3 linked regions of the Saccharomyces cerevisiae S288C genome follow. Changing the gene in region 1 together with any one later gene gives a genetic interaction. Each region holds a gene or a part of one and is shown in the gene's direction. Other genes may lie near its edges.

Region 1 (4,133 bases):
ATTCCATATGATGATATAGCATTTACTTTACTTCAACCAGTATTGTCTAAAGAGAACGAGTTTAGTATTAGTAAAAAAATTAAAAAAAGGAAGCGTACTTGAAACTCAAACACAAACGAGAGTACAAAGGGCATTGCTAGCTTAAAATATTTAACAATCAACTTCGTCTTTTGCCAGAAGACTACATTTTGTGCCATCGAGAAGTTAGTCCAGGAGTCAACACATTAATTAAACATGCCCGCTCGAGAATATAACTATGTAGAAGGTTTTGGTGGGTACGGCTCGTTGGACGATGATGATTCAGATAGAGATTCTGAACGCAGGAATCACGATCTAGGGCAGCGAACTATAACCACAAGTCCAACAGGAGTATCAAGACATGCTGCATTAAATAGGTACATGATCCCAGGCCGTATCAATCCTCTTTTCAGACCGACAGACGCTGCTCAACCTCCCATAGTGTCTACATCCACATCAGCATCGGCAACAGAACCGACCAACAGAATAGGCCCTGGAAGGATAAAAGAAACCCCTGAAACAAATTTCAATGCATTTCTTATAGCACAACTAACCAGAATGGAGGAGCAAAATGCCAATCTGAAGGAAGAAATCAGCCTAATGAAAAAGGAACAAGAACTCTTCTTTCTAGAGAATCAAAAGAAGTTGGAGAAAGGATTTAAAGACATCAATAAGTATGTTGAAGATGTTTCCGCAATGAAAGAAGTCTTCAAAGAGGTAGTTGGTATTATGACTGGGGAGAGAATAAGATTTATAGACCATACTGGGGAAAATGTTACTCCTCAGGAAGCTGCTCGTGTTGGAAATCCATCAACAAGTACGCAAGCTCATCAAAGTCAGTCAAGATCAACAAACTGGCAAGAATATAGTATGCACGCAAGCATATTAGCCGGCGATCCTCGTATCAAGCCTGAGCCAGGGCTGTCAGACTTTGAAAATGGGGAATACGATGGTAATGAAAGTGATGAGAACGCTACCACCAGGAACCTACCTTTAAATAACCCCGATTCTGTTAGCAATGCTGATGACAGTAATAACCAACTCGATGGAACAGGAAACGAGAATGATATCAGAAACAGAAGAGGGTGCGTTGGAACGTCATATAAACTAAATCGTGCAATCCAGAACGTTACAGATGCGGCCCGTGAATACTTTGAAGGCTTACCGGGCCAACCGTCAGTTCTTTCCCTTGAGAGGAGATATGGGTCCACTTGGAGGCGATCTGCCAAAGAAAGGACTTTGTTCACTAAAAGAATGACCATCATAAAAAGAATAATAGATATAAAAGATGATCCAAGCAAATATGGTTTGTCGCTACCTGAGAATAAAATAAGTAGAAACCAAGCCATCAAGGTTGTCGAAAATATAAGATTGGGAAACAATACCTTCAAAGGACATCATTGCCGATTATCAATGTCCCAGTTATACGAATACTTCTCCAAAAAAATGGACAAACTCGAAGACTATTCACTTACTCTAAAGAGAAGAGGGAAGCCAAGAAGAATTTTCTTGTTAGAAGAGAGAGAAGCTAGATTATCATTACAGCAGCCACATAGTATACCAAATTCCAGTACAGGCACACCAGAACATGATCAAGACACTTAGAGGAAATGGAACAACGAATTTCCAGCCAAAAATTCCGAGTAGTTCATGATGAAAGATTTTTACATGCATTTTATATATAAATATATACCGTCCTATATGGATTTCATGCCAACAGGGTATATAATAGACAATTACCGGTGTACTGATATATCAACTATCGACTCCAAGCCTTTTATCTATCAGTCAATTTTACATCAAGATCCCACTTTTAGATAGGTTCGAAAATTCAATCTAATATTAGTGATTTAATTAGATGGTGGATTGCTTACCCTTTTTTTTGTCGTTTTAGGAGGAGATTCTTCGGATTTTAGGGATAAACGGATACTCCATATATAAAAAACAAAACTTCAGGCATATTGATTATCTAAAAGGAATATTCTAAAACCATAGCCATAGTAATTTATCACCAACATGTCAAACGACGGCTCAAAAATATTGAATTATACCCCAGTGTCTAAAATAGATGAAATAGTTGAAATCTCAAGAAATTTCTTCTTTGAGAAACAATTGAAATTGTCCCACGAAAATAACCCAAGGAAAAAAGATCTAGAATTCAGGCAGTTGCAGTTGAAAAAACTCTATTATGCCGTCAAAGATCATGAGGAAGAACTGATCGATGCTATGTACAAGGACTTTCATCGGAACAAAATTGAATCGGTTCTGAATGAAACGACCAAACTTATGAACGATATACTTCACCTAATTGAGATTTTACCAAAATTGATCAAACCTCGGAGAGTATCTGATTCTTCTCCTCCATTTATGTTTGGTAAAACAATCGTGGAGAAAATATCAAGGGGCAGTGTCTTGATTATTGCTCCTTTCAATTTTCCCCTACTTTTAGCATTTGCCCCATTGGCAGCAGCTCTTGCTGCAGGTAACACCATTGTTCTGAAGCCAAGTGAACTAACACCACACACTGCTGTAGTTATGGAAAATTTGTTAACCACAGCTGGTTTCCCTGATGGATTGATTCAAGTAGTTCAGGGAGCTATAGATGAAACTACAAGACTACTAGATTGTGGAAAATTTGACCTAATATTCTACACAGGTTCTCCCCGTGTCGGATCAATAGTTGCTGAGAAAGCAGCAAAAAGTCTAACACCTTGTGTACTTGAACTTGGTGGTAAATCACCTACCTTTATTACAGAAAATTTCAAAGCAAGTAACATAAAAATTGCTTTGAAAAGGATTTTTTTTGGTGCTTTCGGAAATTCTGGCCAGATTTGTGTTTCACCAGATTATTTGTTAGTACATAAATCTATCTATCCAAAAGTCATTAAAGAGTGTGAATCAGTACTAAATGAATTTTATCCAAGCTTTGATGAACAAACAGATTTCACTCGTATGATTCATGAGCCTGCTTACAAAAAGGCCGTTGCAAGTATAAACTCAACTAACGGCTCCAAGATTGTGCCTTCAAAAATTTCTATCAATTCAGATACTGAGGATCTATGCCTTGTACCACCAACCATAGTTTATAACATTGGTTGGGATGATCCTTTGATGAAACAGGAAAACTTTGCTCCTGTATTGCCCATCATTGAGTACGAGGATCTTGATGAGACCATTAACAAGATAATAGAAGAACATGACACTCCATTGGTGCAATACATATTCTCTGATAGCCAAACTGAAATAAATCGTATCTTGACGCGCTTAAGATCTGGTGACTGTGTTGTCGGTGATACAGTGATTCATGTAGGAATTACCGACGCTCCATTTGGAGGGATCGGTACTTCAGGTTATGGTAACTATGGTGGATATTATGGATTCAATACCTTTAGTCATGAAAGAACAATTTTTAAACAACCATATTGGAATGATTTTACCCTTTTTATGAGATACCCTCCAAATAGCGCACAAAAGGAAAAGCTCGTCCGTTTTGCGATGGAAAGAAAACCTTGGTTTGACAGAAATGGCAATAACAAGTGGGGGTTACGCCAATATTTTTCATTATCTGCCGCCGTTATTTTAATTAGTACCATTTACGCTCATTGTTCTTCCTGAACGTAATGTTTAAGGTTAATTAATTATTTGATGTATAAGTAACCTTTCGTTTAAAAATTTCATATGGGCGATAATATATCAATATTTATTAATTACAATTTACTCTATTTGCTCGTATAGAGTATATACTCGCTAAATACATTTTGATTACCAATCATCTTCCTCTTCATCTTCGTTAGCCTCCTCGTCATCACTCTCTAATCTCATTTTATTGGCCCTAGCAGCAAGCGCATTCGCCAAACCATCACCCAAACTTGCTTGGGCTGCAGCTGGAATAACGTTTGCAGAGGTGTTATCATGTTGTACAGAATTCAGAACGGGTTTAGGAACATCCCTGTTTTGAGGAGGAGTAGGGATATTATTATTTCCGGAATGTGGTTTCATGTAAGCTGTTGGCACCCAACCTTCCTTAGAGCCATCCAGAAGTTTCCCGAGAGACCAACCGCTTGGTTCTTCTCTTGTAATGTAAATTACGTCTCCTTTCTTTAAAGGTAACTCAG
Region 2 (6,271 bases), on another chromosome or scaffold:
TGTTATATTATTATCCAAACAGTACAAATAAATAGCCCGAAAGAGGAAGGCAATTTCTACGGTAAAGTCTTTCCAAATACTTTCAGGAAATTTGATTTTAGATAATATATCTGGCCTTGATTGAAAAAGTGCTTCTATAGCCTTAACACACACTGAGGATCTTGAGACATCCAATTTTTCTAGTAATTCTATCAAATCGCCATCCAGAGCATTTAACCAATCATGAGCAATGAGTCTCTTACACGCATTTCTCACTGATAATTCCCTATCTTCTAAACCCCACTCAATCAATTGATCAAAAATATGCGGCTCAATATCATCGAAACACTTTCTTCCCATTGATTTCAAAATTCTCGAATACACGAGCCTTCTATTAACGATGTTTACATCTCTAGCCCTCTCCAAGATATACGGTCTAGTATTATTATCATTGATCAAATTCAGCATTGCAGCCCTCCGTACTTCAGCTGACGGATCGTTCTGGATAGAAGCAACTAGAGTTCTCGTAGCTTCAAAATTTTCTTCATTATCAGAAAGCTCAGTTAAATGTTCAGTTTGCTCTTCATCCTGAAATTTAGTTAAACAAAACACAGCCTGTATCCTAACCGTTGGTTCTCTATCATAAATCCTCTTATTTAAAGACAATATTAATAAATTGAAAAGTGATTCATCGATTTCCCCTATATTATCCATTATAACGGCTAATAACTGTAAAACTCTAAATCTGACGTTCTTGTCAGGGCTTTCCACACCACGCAAAACATGTCTTATGAACTGATCGACGAACCTTGAGAATATCCCTTCTTCATCATTCGTGAGCTTATAGTTTTGTTTTTTGGCCAATATCAACTCCCTTTCTAAAGAAGCTATAAATGCAGCTACTAACTTTACTATCCTGTCTCCGATAATCTCATTCTTTTTCAGAGGAAGGATCTTAGTAACTAATTTATCGAACCAAAAGTTAAAAGCATCTTCATAGCCTTGCTCAACAGCCTTTGACTGAATTTTCTTCAAAACTGCTATATGCTTCCTGTGTCCTGCATAAGAACCCTGTGCCTTTTGAAATACTTCAGCAACTGAGTTAAAGATTTTCGTATTAATGTCAATACCATCAGGATCTTGCATGATGGGCGCGGCCTGTTAACTTCTTTGTCTTATCCAAGGCTGTAGGCATTACTGAAGTGTTTTTGTTTGATCTTCAAAGAGCTAAAAAGGTAAACAAACACGAAGGCTCTACCCTTTCATATGCGGTGCACGGATTTTAAAAGTCGCAATAACTCAAGAATACGATAGATGCAATAAATCAGAGGTAAAGTGCTTTAGGCTAATACTATGAGCAATTCAGTATAACCTGCATTATCTCCTTGTTTTCCTTTGTATCCCCCATGATTTTTTTTTCTTGTTATTCCTCTTGATACCATATTAGGCAGGATTTTTTTCAAAAAACCAAATGAAAAATTTTCAGACTGACAAGAAAAAAGCTACGAATGAGCTCATCGCTACTTTCAGTTTTAAAAGAAAAGTCAAGAAGCCTGAAAATACGAAACAAACCGGTGAAGATGACCAGTCAGGAAAGGATGATAGTGCATAGATGCAGATTTGTGGATTTCACTCCTGCCACAATCACATCTCTAGCATTTTCACATAAATCAAATATAAATAAGTTAACTCCGTCCGATTTGAGATTAGCTATTGGTAGATCTAATGGTAACATAGAAATCTGGAATCCTAGAAACAATTGGTTTCAGGAAATGGTTATCGAAGGTGGCAAAGACAGATCAATTGAAGGCCTTTGCTGGAGCAACGTTAACGGCGAGTCTCTAAGGCTATTTTCTATTGGCGGCTCGACTGTGGTAACAGAATGGGATTTAGCAACAGGTTTACCATTAAGAAACTATGATTGCAATTCAGGTGTGATATGGTCTATTTCCATCAACGATTCACAAGACAAGCTGTCTGTGGGTTGCGATAATGGGACGGTGGTCCTCATAGATATCTCTGGCGGGCCTGGTGTCTTGGAACACGATACTATTTTGATGAGACAAGAAGCCAGAGTATTGACTTTGGCTTGGAAAAAGGATGACTTCGTGATTGGTGGTTGTTCTGATGGTAGAATAAGGATTTGGTCTGCACAAAAAAATGACGAAAACATGGGTCGTCTATTACACACTATGAAGGTCGACAAGGCCAAAAAAGAATCAACTCTAGTTTGGTCAGTTATATATTTACCAAGAACTGATCAGATTGCCTCTGGTGATTCTACAGGCTCCATTAAATTCTGGGATTTCCAGTTTGCCACGCTAAACCAGTCATTTAAGGCGCACGATGCAGACGTACTGTGTCTAACTACCGATACTGATAATAATTATGTTTTTAGTGCTGGTGTGGACAGAAAAATCTTTCAATTTTCTCAAAACACTAACAAATCTCAAAAGAACAACAGATGGGTAAATTCTTCTAATAGGTTGCTTCATGGAAACGACATTAGAGCAATATGTGCATACCAATCTAAAGGTGCAGATTTTCTAGTTTCAGGAGGTGTTGAAAAAACACTAGTCATCAACTCACTTACTTCTTTTTCTAATGGAAACTACAGGAAGATGCCAACTGTCGAACCTTATTCAAAGAATGTTTTAGTTAACAAAGAGCAACGCCTTGTTGTTTCATGGAGCGAATCTACTGTTAAGATATGGACAATGGGAACCGATTCTAGTACAGAACAGAATTATAAGCTAGTTTGCAAGTTAACTTTAAAAGATGACCAGAATATCTCAACTTGTTCTTTATCACCTGATGGACAAGTTTTAGTCGTAGGGAGGCCCTCTACCACTAAAGTTTTTCATTTACAGCCCGTAGGTAATAAATTGAAAGTGACTAAACTAGATAATGACCTATTATTGAGAACTTCCACAAAATTAGTCAAGTTCATCGATAATTCCAAAATTGTCATATGCTCTTGCGAAGATGATGTATTTATTGTGGATCTAGAATCTGAAGAAGATGAAAAACCGCAAGAAGTTGAACTTTTGGAGGTTACTTCAACTAAGAGCAGTATCAAAGTTCCCTATATTAACAGGATCAACCATTTGGAAGTAGACCAGAACATTGCAGTAATTTCTCGTGGCTGTGGAGTCGTAGACATATTAGACTTAAAAGCAAGGATTTCTAAACCACTTGCTCGTTTGAATAATTTCATCACCGCTGTTCATATCAATACTTCTAGAAAATCTGTAGTAGTAATTACTGCAGACAATAAGATTTATGAATTCAATATGAATTTGAATTCGGAAGCCGAGAATGAAGATAGCGAAAGCGTATTAACTCAATGGTCAAAAAACAATACGGATAACTTACCAAAAGAATGGAAGACATTAAAAGAGAACTGTGTAGGGATATTTTCAGACATAGAAAATAGTAGCAGATTATGGTTTTGGGGGGCTACTTGGATATCAAGAATAGACTTTGATGTTGACTTCCCTATAAATAAGAGAAGAAAACAGAAAAAACGTACACACGAAGGGCTAACTATCACAGATGAAAGTAATTTCATGAACGACGAGGAAGATGACGAAGATGACGATATTGATATGGAAATCAGCGAAAACTTGAATGTATTATTAAACCAAGGAAACAAAATAAAGTCCACAGATGTACAAAGAAACGAAGAAAGCTCCGGTCACTTCTTCTTTACTGATAAATATAAACCTTTACTGTTTGTTGACTTAATTTCTAGTAATGAATTGGCAATAATTGAAAGAAATCCATTAACTTTTCACTCCAAACAAAAGGCGTTTATTCAACCAAAGTTAGTGTTTTGATTAATTTAAGTCAACATACCGAAGAATAGAGAGATGCTATTAAAAGGCTATCATACTCTAAGGGCATTTTTCAGTTACAAAAAACTCTAATGGCGTTAGTACTTTATAGAAACTCGCTAATGTAAAATAGCCAAGCACATACGCAGACATATATATGTAGTAATCACGTATGCAGACATTAAATGTGAGCCATTTATTGGTATAAATGTATTCCTGAATTACAAAAGTACTGGCGATGGAATCACTCTGGCTATCACTGTTATTTCCAGGCAGGGTAATACTTTGGGAAAACAATAGAATAATGAAAACATATGATCAGTAGCTAAATTGACCGACCTAAAGAGCAAAGCCGGATCTCATGGTTTTTAAAGGGATATCACCGAATTTCCTGGCGACTTATCTATTATGGATCTTGAAAATGTTTCATGTCCCATTTGTCTAAGGAAGTTTGATAACTTACAAGCACTAAATGCACATTTAGATGTTGAGCATGGGTTTAACGATAATGAAGATTCACTCGGTTCCAATGACAGTCGTTTAGTCAATGGTAAACAAAAAAAGGCCAGATCTGTTGATAGCAGTGCGCAAAAGTTGAAAAGAAGCCATTGGGAAAAATTCAAAAAAGGGAAGAGCTGCTGTCACACATGTGGAAGGACTTTGAATAACAATATTGGCGCCATTAATTGTAGGAAATGTGGTAAACTGTATTGCAGAAGGCATCTTCCTAATATGATTAAACTTAATCTTTCCGCACAGTATGACCCCAGAAACGGGAAATGGTACAATTGCTGCCATGATTGTTTCGTCACAAAACCTGGCTATAACGATTATGGCGAAGTAATAGATTTAACACCAGAATTCTTTAAGGTACGAAATATAAAAAGAGAGGACAAAAACTTAAGGCTATTACAATTAGAAAATCGGTTTGTCCGTCTAGTTGATGGTCTGATTACACTCTATAACACATATTCTAGATCCATTATTCATAATTTGAAGATGAATAGTGAAATGTCCAAGTTAGAACGTACAGTTACTCCATGGAGAGATGATAGAAGTGTACTCTTTTGTAACATATGTTCCGAACCATTTGGGCTATTACTAAGGAAGCATCACTGCAGATTATGTGGTATGGTTGTTTGTGATGATGCAAACAGGAACTGCTCAAACGAAATAAGCATAGGTTATTTAATGTCTGCAGCGTCAGATCTGCCATTCGAATACAATATACAGAAGGATGATTTACTTCATATTCCTATATCCATAAGATTGTGCTCGCACTGTATCGATATGCTATTTATTGGCAGGAAATTTAACAAGGACGTTAGAATGCCGCTAAGTGGAATATTTGCTAAATATGATAGCATGCAAAATATATCCAAAGTAATTGATAGTCTCCTGCCCATTTTTGAAGACTCATTGAATAGCCTGAAGGTGGAGACTGCCAAGGATTCTGAAAATACACTTGATCCAAAGAATCTGAATGATCTCGCTCGATTAAGACATAAATTACTCAATTCTTTTAACTTGTATAATACACTAACAAGACAGCTCTTAAGTGTAGAACCTCAAAGTCATCTAGAGAGACAACTTCAAAATTCGATCAAGATAGCTTCCGCTGCATACATAAACGAAAAAATCCTACCGTTGAAGTCGCTTCCGGCAATTTTGAACCCAGAGGGCCATAAAACGAATGAAGATGGGCAAAAAGCTGAACCAGAGGTAAAGAAATTATCGCAACTAATGATCGAAAACTTGACCATAAAAGAAGTGAAAGAGCTGAGAGAAGAATTGATGGTCCTAAAGGAACAAAGCTACCTTATTGAGTCCACAATTCAGGACTATAAGAAGCAGCGTAGATTGGAGGAGATCGTCACACTTAATAAGAACTTAGAAGAATTGCACTCAAGAATACATACCGTTCAATCGAAGCTGGGTGACCATGGGTTTAATTAAGACATATCTTTATTATTCGATCATTCGCGGAATCTCCACGCTAATTGGTCCGCGGAGCCAATCAGATCTATTTAAGGGTATAAATTTTTCTTTAGTTTTTTTGACTTTTCACACAGAAATTTTAGATAAAAGGAAGTATTATATCGGAACATAACGTATATAGGAACTAGCTGAGTGAGTTAAAGGATGTCGACAGTTAATGTTTTGAGATACTCTGCGTTGGGTTTGGGGCTATTTTTTGGTTTTAGAAATGATATGATTTTGAAGTGTAATGCTAAGAAGAAAGAGGAGCAGGCACAGTACGAGGAGAAATTGAAGCTGGTAGAGGAGGCAAAGAAGGAATACGCCAAGCTACACCCTGTAGTAACTCCTAAAGATGTGCCTGCGAACGCCTCATTTAATTTGGAAGATCCTAATATAGATTTTGAAAGAGTTATTCTTAACGCCGTTGAATCCCTGAAGGAAGCTTCAACATAAATAGAAGCTTCAACATAAATAGG
Region 3 (6,549 bases), on another chromosome or scaffold:
CGGGCATAACAATTGTTGCAGGTACATTTAATAGTTTTGCACTAAGAGCAATAGCCTGTGCATGGTTTCCTGATGAGAAGGCAATTACTCCCTTACTTCTTTTTTCATCACTTAATTTTGAAACAGCATTCATTGCTCCACGAAACTTGAACGCTCCCACTCGTTGGAAATTCTCACCTTTAAAGTATATTTGTGCTCCAAGTCGATCATTAAGCATTCGTGAAGTGAGAACCGGTGTTTTATTTACATATTCTTTAATTCTGTTGCTGGCATCCAAAACGTCTCCATAAGTGGGAACAATCATTTTTCCAACTCAATGAAAACTAAATATCTCGAACTATATTAATTATTTGTACTTTTTAAGTTTTTTTTCAATACTCCTTTATTTGAATTTTTGCAGAATGAAAATGTAACTCTTTATATTCCAAAGCTTATCTTTTTCTCACGTACCGTCCTATAGACCCTGATTTTATGATAAGAGGCTGAATTTACTAATTAGTCATTTTTTTCAGTTTTTTTGTCATAGAAGCCACATTTAAAAGAAGTCAGCCAAGTTACCTGTAAATATTAAAACAACCTGCTTAGAATGACTGTTAATTTACAGAATTTACGATAAAAATATAACTTGGCTCTAGGGCGTGATGATAGTGACAAAAAACTCGTCAAGTAAATGTTGGGAGCTTACTTGCCGTCGTTTTCTAACGCCAAAATACACGAATCATGTTTGGGAAATATAAGTGATTAGAACTTGTCCAAGGATATTGTCAAACAATAACATACTACAATAATCCTAGATCGTGTATTATTTGCGTATGGATAAATATACCTCAAGCTTTATGAGGCATAGAAAATTCATTAGAGTCACTACTTACGTCGCACTCTCGAGGATTGGAATGACGAAATCTTCTTCAGCATTTCACCATTCACCTTTTGAAGCTTCCTATCTCGTTGCTTAAGTAGAATGAAAGCATAGCAGCCCAAAAGAAAAGCCTCCCTCAGCAAGAATATTAACAAAGAACAATTCATGGACCGTTTCTACTACTTAATATCTCTATCACAACTGTCAGTCTCAATCAGTACTTAAATGACGCTGCAGAAAAAGATATCATTATTTTTATCATCCCCCTAATAAAATAAGTAATGAATCAATGCCATTAATTCGGGAACTAGTCATATACCTAAGGAATCAGGCTTTGATAGCTCTTTAATAATAATATTAGGGCATTTTTGATATGGTAAAAGATTAGATTAGGAAACCCCTTTTGTAGAGCATCTCACTACAATATCTGCAAAAACGGTCACCTTGCATAGGCAGAACACGCTACCTTTGAGTTAATTCACAGGGGAGAGCCCTTTTTTTTTCTTAGCAAAAGTGCTTAACAATCTTAATTTCTGGAATGTTTTCGGCGGATTGTTGTATATTGTTTGAATTTGTTCGTTCTAAAAAGTGAGACACCTGCACTTTCCACGCCAAGAACACTAATACCTTTAAACATGCCAGCGTACTTTAAAATGCCACGAGTCGCCCCGTACCAAACATGCTGGCGATTGTAATTTTTCGCCTTTTATTGGAATCGAGAATTCGGGCACTGTCCTTTTCTTCGTCATTTCAATGTTATAATCATTTTTATCGCCAAATTTTCTTCAATAAAAGGTCTCTTTTAAAATATGTTACTATGTTTTTTATTTTTCTATTATTTTTCTATGTGATTTTTCAGACGATTTATTCTTTGTTCGAAGGAGAACAGATGCAACGGTCAAGTTTTTACTATCCACATGAGGAGCCGTAATATTCTAAAGGCAAAAGCATGTGTGCTTGTAAAAAAAAATCAAAAAAAGTTACTGCTCCAAGCCAGCAAGCTTTCTCTTTTGCGAAATCTTTAACACGGTTAAAATCAAAGACAATTACTTCATTGACAAGGTCAATGCTAATATTTACGGTCTCCGCACGAAAGACTCTGAAAAATGTTAAAATTTATAGTGGCTAATGCTAATTCAAGAATAGTCTCGGGTTGTTTGATCACATTATTTTAATTTTTATTGAGCACTGAATAGGACCCGTATGTTCCAATCAGTCTATTTCTTGCAACTTAATCTGGTTTGTTTTTAGGGGAGTGGCATTTTTTTTAGGGTTATTCAAATATTCAATTCTGTAATTTGCTTACGACAAAAAGAAAAGGAGAGATGAAAAAAGGGCGACGGGTATAATCTATTCAGCCGCCAATGTCCCGACGTATGCCAAAATGTGGTGCCGCGGTAACAGTAGCATCACACAGAGCATGAGAAAAGCAAGAAAAGTGGAAGTCTGTATGTCACATTTTTATTGAAAATGCTATTTGCTATAAGGTTCGCTATTCAACTGATTGAACCGAGATAGACAAAATGTTAAACTTTTCATAGAGACGTTATTGTGATAGGGTTTACGCTGAGAATGGTTGAAACATACTTGCTAATAAACCACGTCACGTCAAAATATCAGTTTTTCTTTTTTAGTTATTCCCTTCTCACTTTTGACTTGAGATGAGATCGTTACACTTTTATTGAATACGAACGGATCACGATACATCCACATATACGAATGTTCGGCCAGACAGGGCATCAGAGTATATACCCTTTTTCCTAAAATGGAAGGGCCCTAGATCGTTGGCATCAGCGGTTACCTAACCGAAGTGGATCAAATCAGCGCCTATTTTTCCGTTTAGAACGATTAGATGCCGTCAATATGTATGTGCTTACTGTATCATCCACGTAGTAAAGCTGGGGCGTAGCATCCCTAGGTTACTTTCTCAATACTGGGGTCCCTGACCAAAGATAAAACATAACCTATTATGGCGTACGAGTCAAAGTTAAACGCTATTTGACTCGGGCAGCATGCATGACCCGGGGGAATGGAAAACTTCTCATGGCTACCCCAACGAAGCCAGACAAGATCTAGGAGATGTCTCCACCTTCCGAGCTACACTCTCACATCTCTTACATAGACACTGTGAAGTAAGTGATTGCACACAATCCAAAGAAGCACATCAAATAATATGTAAATATTACCCGTACAAATGGCAAATCATGTCCACTTTCCCGTTAGTCATCGGGTGGGCCGGTCCTCGCACTTTCCTTTTGTTTCGGATGTTAATTAATATATAAATGGATCTATAATTTTCAAAAGGTATAAACGCACAGTATGAAAAATATTGCAAGAATAATGTGTTTATAAATTATTTTTTTTGCTGGTAGCAAAATCAACTCATTGTCTTCCATTCAGAGTCTAATCGAACGTTATCGCAATGCTTGCACACTTTTAAACAATACGATTTAGTTTAAGTGGATGGACCCCCACGCTTAGTGTTCCACAGGTTTGTCCCCACTGTTTTTACATTCCACTGTACATTTTTGCAATAGAAGGTCATTGTATGCTACCTTGGGCGGCTAAGAATACCTGTAAAAATTTGGAGAAATTAGATTCGTAAAGAATGACTCGCAACGACTCCAATGATTTCTTCTTTTCACCCTTTGAACGGCCGATATCCGCGCGGGATCCTGACCCCGCAATTTACTCCACTAGACCGGCGTGTTTCTCTTTTTCCTTTTCCTGGGGTTAGAGCCCAAGAGCTAATAGCCGACAAACGGACTCCAAAAAAAAAAGGAGGCACAGGACAAACGCAGCACCTGCGTCATTCACGCTGAAGCGGCAGCAAGCATTTTCGATCAGCTCCAATTAAATGAAGACTATTCGCCGTACCGTTCCCAGATGGGTGCGAAAGTCAGTGATCGAGGAAGTTATTGAGCGCGCGGCTTGAAACTATTTCTCCATCTCAGAGCCGCCAAGCCTACCATTATTCTCCACCAGGAAGTTAGTTTGTAAGCTTCTGCACACCATCCGGACGTCCATAATTCTTCACTTAACGGTCTTTTGCCCCCCCTTCTACTATAATGCATTAGAACGTTACCTGGTCATTTGGATGGAGATCTAAGTAACACTTACTATCTCCTATGGTACTATCCTTTACCAAAAAAAAAAAAAAAAAAAAAAAAAAAAAAATCAGCAAAGTGAAGTACCCTCTTGATGTATAAATACATTGCACATCATTGTTGAGAAATAGTTTTGGAAGTTGTCTAGTCCTTCTCCCTTAGATCTAAAAGGAAGAAGAGTAACAGTTTCAAAAGTTTTTCCTCAAAGAGATTAAATACTGCTACTGAAAATATGTCGTCGTCAATTACAGATGAGAAAATATCTGGTGAACAGCAACAACCTGCTGGCAGAAAACTATACTATAACACAAGTACATTTGCAGAGCCTCCTCTAGTGGACGGAGAAGGTAACCCTATAAATTATGAGCCGGAAGTTTACAACCCGGATCACGAAAAGCTATACCATAACCCATCACTGCCTGCACAATCAATTCAGGATACAAGAGATGATGAATTGCTGGAAAGAGTTTATAGCCAGGATCAAGGTGTAGAGTATGAGGAAGATGAAGAGGATAAGCCAAACCTAAGCGCTGCGTCCATTAAAAGTTATGCTTTAACGAGATTTACGTCCTTACTGCACATCCACGAGTTTTCTTGGGAGAATGTCAATCCCATACCCGAACTGCGCAAAATGACATGGCAGAATTGGAACTATTTTTTTATGGGTTATTTTGCGTGGTTGTCTGCGGCTTGGGCCTTCTTTTGCGTTTCAGTATCAGTCGCTCCATTGGCTGAACTATATGACAGACCAACCAAGGACATCACCTGGGGGTTGGGATTGGTGTTATTTGTTCGTTCAGCAGGTGCTGTCATATTTGGTTTATGGACAGATAAGTCTTCCAGAAAGTGGCCGTACATTACATGTTTGTTCTTATTTGTCATTGCACAACTCTGTACTCCATGGTGTGACACATACGAGAAATTTCTGGGCGTAAGGTGGATAACCGGTATTGCTATGGGAGGAATTTACGGATGTGCTTCTGCAACAGCGATTGAAGATGCACCTGTGAAAGCACGTTCGTTCCTATCAGGTCTATTTTTTTCTGCTTACGCTATGGGGTTCATATTTGCTATCATTTTTTACAGAGCCTTTGGCTACTTTAGGGATGATGGCTGGAAAATATTGTTTTGGTTTAGTATTTTTCTACCAATTCTACTAATTTTCTGGAGATTGTTATGGCCTGAAACGAAATACTTCACCAAGGTTTTGAAAGCCCGTAAATTAATATTGAGTGACGCAGTGAAAGCTAATGGTGGCGAGCCTCTACCAAAAGCCAACTTTAAACAAAAGATGGTATCCATGAAGAGAACAGTTCAAAAGTACTGGTTGTTGTTCGCATATTTGGTTGTTTTATTGGTGGGTCCAAATTACTTGACTCATGCTTCTCAAGACTTGTTGCCAACCATGCTGCGTGCCCAATTAGGCCTATCCAAGGATGCTGTCACTGTCATTGTAGTGGTTACCAACATCGGTGCTATTTGTGGGGGTATGATATTTGGACAGTTCATGGAAGTTACTGGAAGAAGATTAGGCCTATTGATTGCATGCACAATGGGTGGTTGCTTCACCTACCCTGCATTTATGTTGAGAAGCGAAAAGGCTATATTAGGTGCCGGTTTCATGTTATATTTTTGTGTCTTTGGTGTCTGGGGTATCCTGCCCATTCACCTTGCAGAGTTGGCCCCTGCTGATGCAAGGGCTTTGGTTGCCGGTTTATCTTACCAGCTAGGTAATCTAGCTTCTGCAGCGGCTTCCACGATTGAGACACAGTTAGCTGATAGATACCCATTAGAAAGAGATGCCTCTGGTGCTGTGATTAAAGAAGATTATGCCAAAGTTATGGCTATCTTGACTGGTTCTGTTTTCATCTTCACATTTGCTTGTGTTTTTGTTGGCCATGAGAAATTCCATCGTGATTTGTCCTCTCCTGTTATGAAGAAATATATAAACCAAGTGGAAGAATACGAAGCCGATGGTCTTTCGATTAGTGACATTGTTGAACAAAAGACGGAATGTGCTTCAGTGAAGATGATTGATTCGAACGTCTCAAAGACATATGAGGAGCATATTGAGACCGTTTAATCACTTTTCATTGCTCTCTAGGGCGTGTTCGCTTCTCTATGTAACTGCATTTCACATATATTCATATTATAGCCTTTATAACATTACATAAAAGACATGATATACGACATACTTTAAAGTTAGAATTTTTGTTGTATTAATTTTCTCGAAGGGATTAGAATGTAAGTACATTTAAATAGCGCCGCAAGAAACATAACAGCCGTTAACACTAGCAAGATGGTAGATTACTGTGTCTAAGAATTTAAATTGTTTTGCTTGCTTTTGCCACTATAAGACAATAATAGTAATAGAAAAGAAATGTTAGTCGAACAGCAAATTGGTAAAAGTGGAAAAAATTATTTCGTTATTCATTTTAGGCCGTTCAGAAATATAGCATTTTGGTTCTTGCACTGAATGGGCCCTGAGGACAGTGTGCGGCTGGATAGCCATATACTTCGACATTACTTTTCACCTTTGAAGGGGGATGTATGCTTATACACAATCAAAGCTCGGCCTGTGCA

Evidence for each region. A genetic interaction does not mean that the proteins touch.
Region 2: mutations in HFD1 (region 1) and PEP7 together harm fitness less than expected from each alone (positive genetic interaction), as found in Saccharomyces cerevisiae (one large-scale study listed by BioGRID).
Region 3: mutations in HFD1 (region 1) and JEN1 together harm fitness more than expected from each alone (negative genetic interaction), as found in Saccharomyces cerevisiae (one large-scale study listed by BioGRID).

Annotation. Positions count from the first base shown.
Region 1 is NC_001145.3:489,894-494,026, reverse strand, and holds HFD1 (hexadecenal dehydrogenase), read left to right. Parts: upstream 1-2,034; coding exon 2,035-3,633; downstream 3,634-4,133. Other genes in the region: EUC1 (Euc1p), read left to right, coding at 235-1,623; MYO5 (myosin 5), read right to left, coding at 3,781-4,133. UniProt on the Saccharomyces cerevisiae protein: Catalyzes the oxidation of long-chain aliphatic aldehydes to fatty acids. Responsible for conversion of the sphingosine 1-phosphate (S1P) degradation product hexadecenal to hexadecenoic acid.
Region 2 is NC_001136.10:1,111,980-1,118,250, reverse strand, and holds PEP7 (phosphatidylinositol-3-phosphate binding protein), read left to right. Parts: upstream 1-4,223; coding exon 4,224-5,771; downstream 5,772-6,271. Other genes in the region: condensin subunit YCG1, read right to left, coding at 1-1,125; small subunit rRNA maturation protein UTP4, read left to right, coding at 1,488-3,818; TIM11 (F1F0 ATP synthase subunit e), read left to right, coding at 5,958-6,248. UniProt on the Saccharomyces cerevisiae protein: Required for vacuole segregation and vacuole protein sorting. Possibly part of a complex which tethers the vacuole membrane to microtubules, either directly or via kinesin or dynein-like motor proteins.
Region 3 is NC_001143.9:18,036-24,584, forward strand, and holds JEN1 (monocarboxylate/H+ symporter), read left to right. Parts: upstream 1-4,198; coding exon 4,199-6,049; downstream 6,050-6,549. Other genes in the region: threo-3-hydroxy-L-aspartate ammonia-lyase SRY1, read right to left, coding at 1-304. UniProt on the Saccharomyces cerevisiae protein: Essential to lactate transport.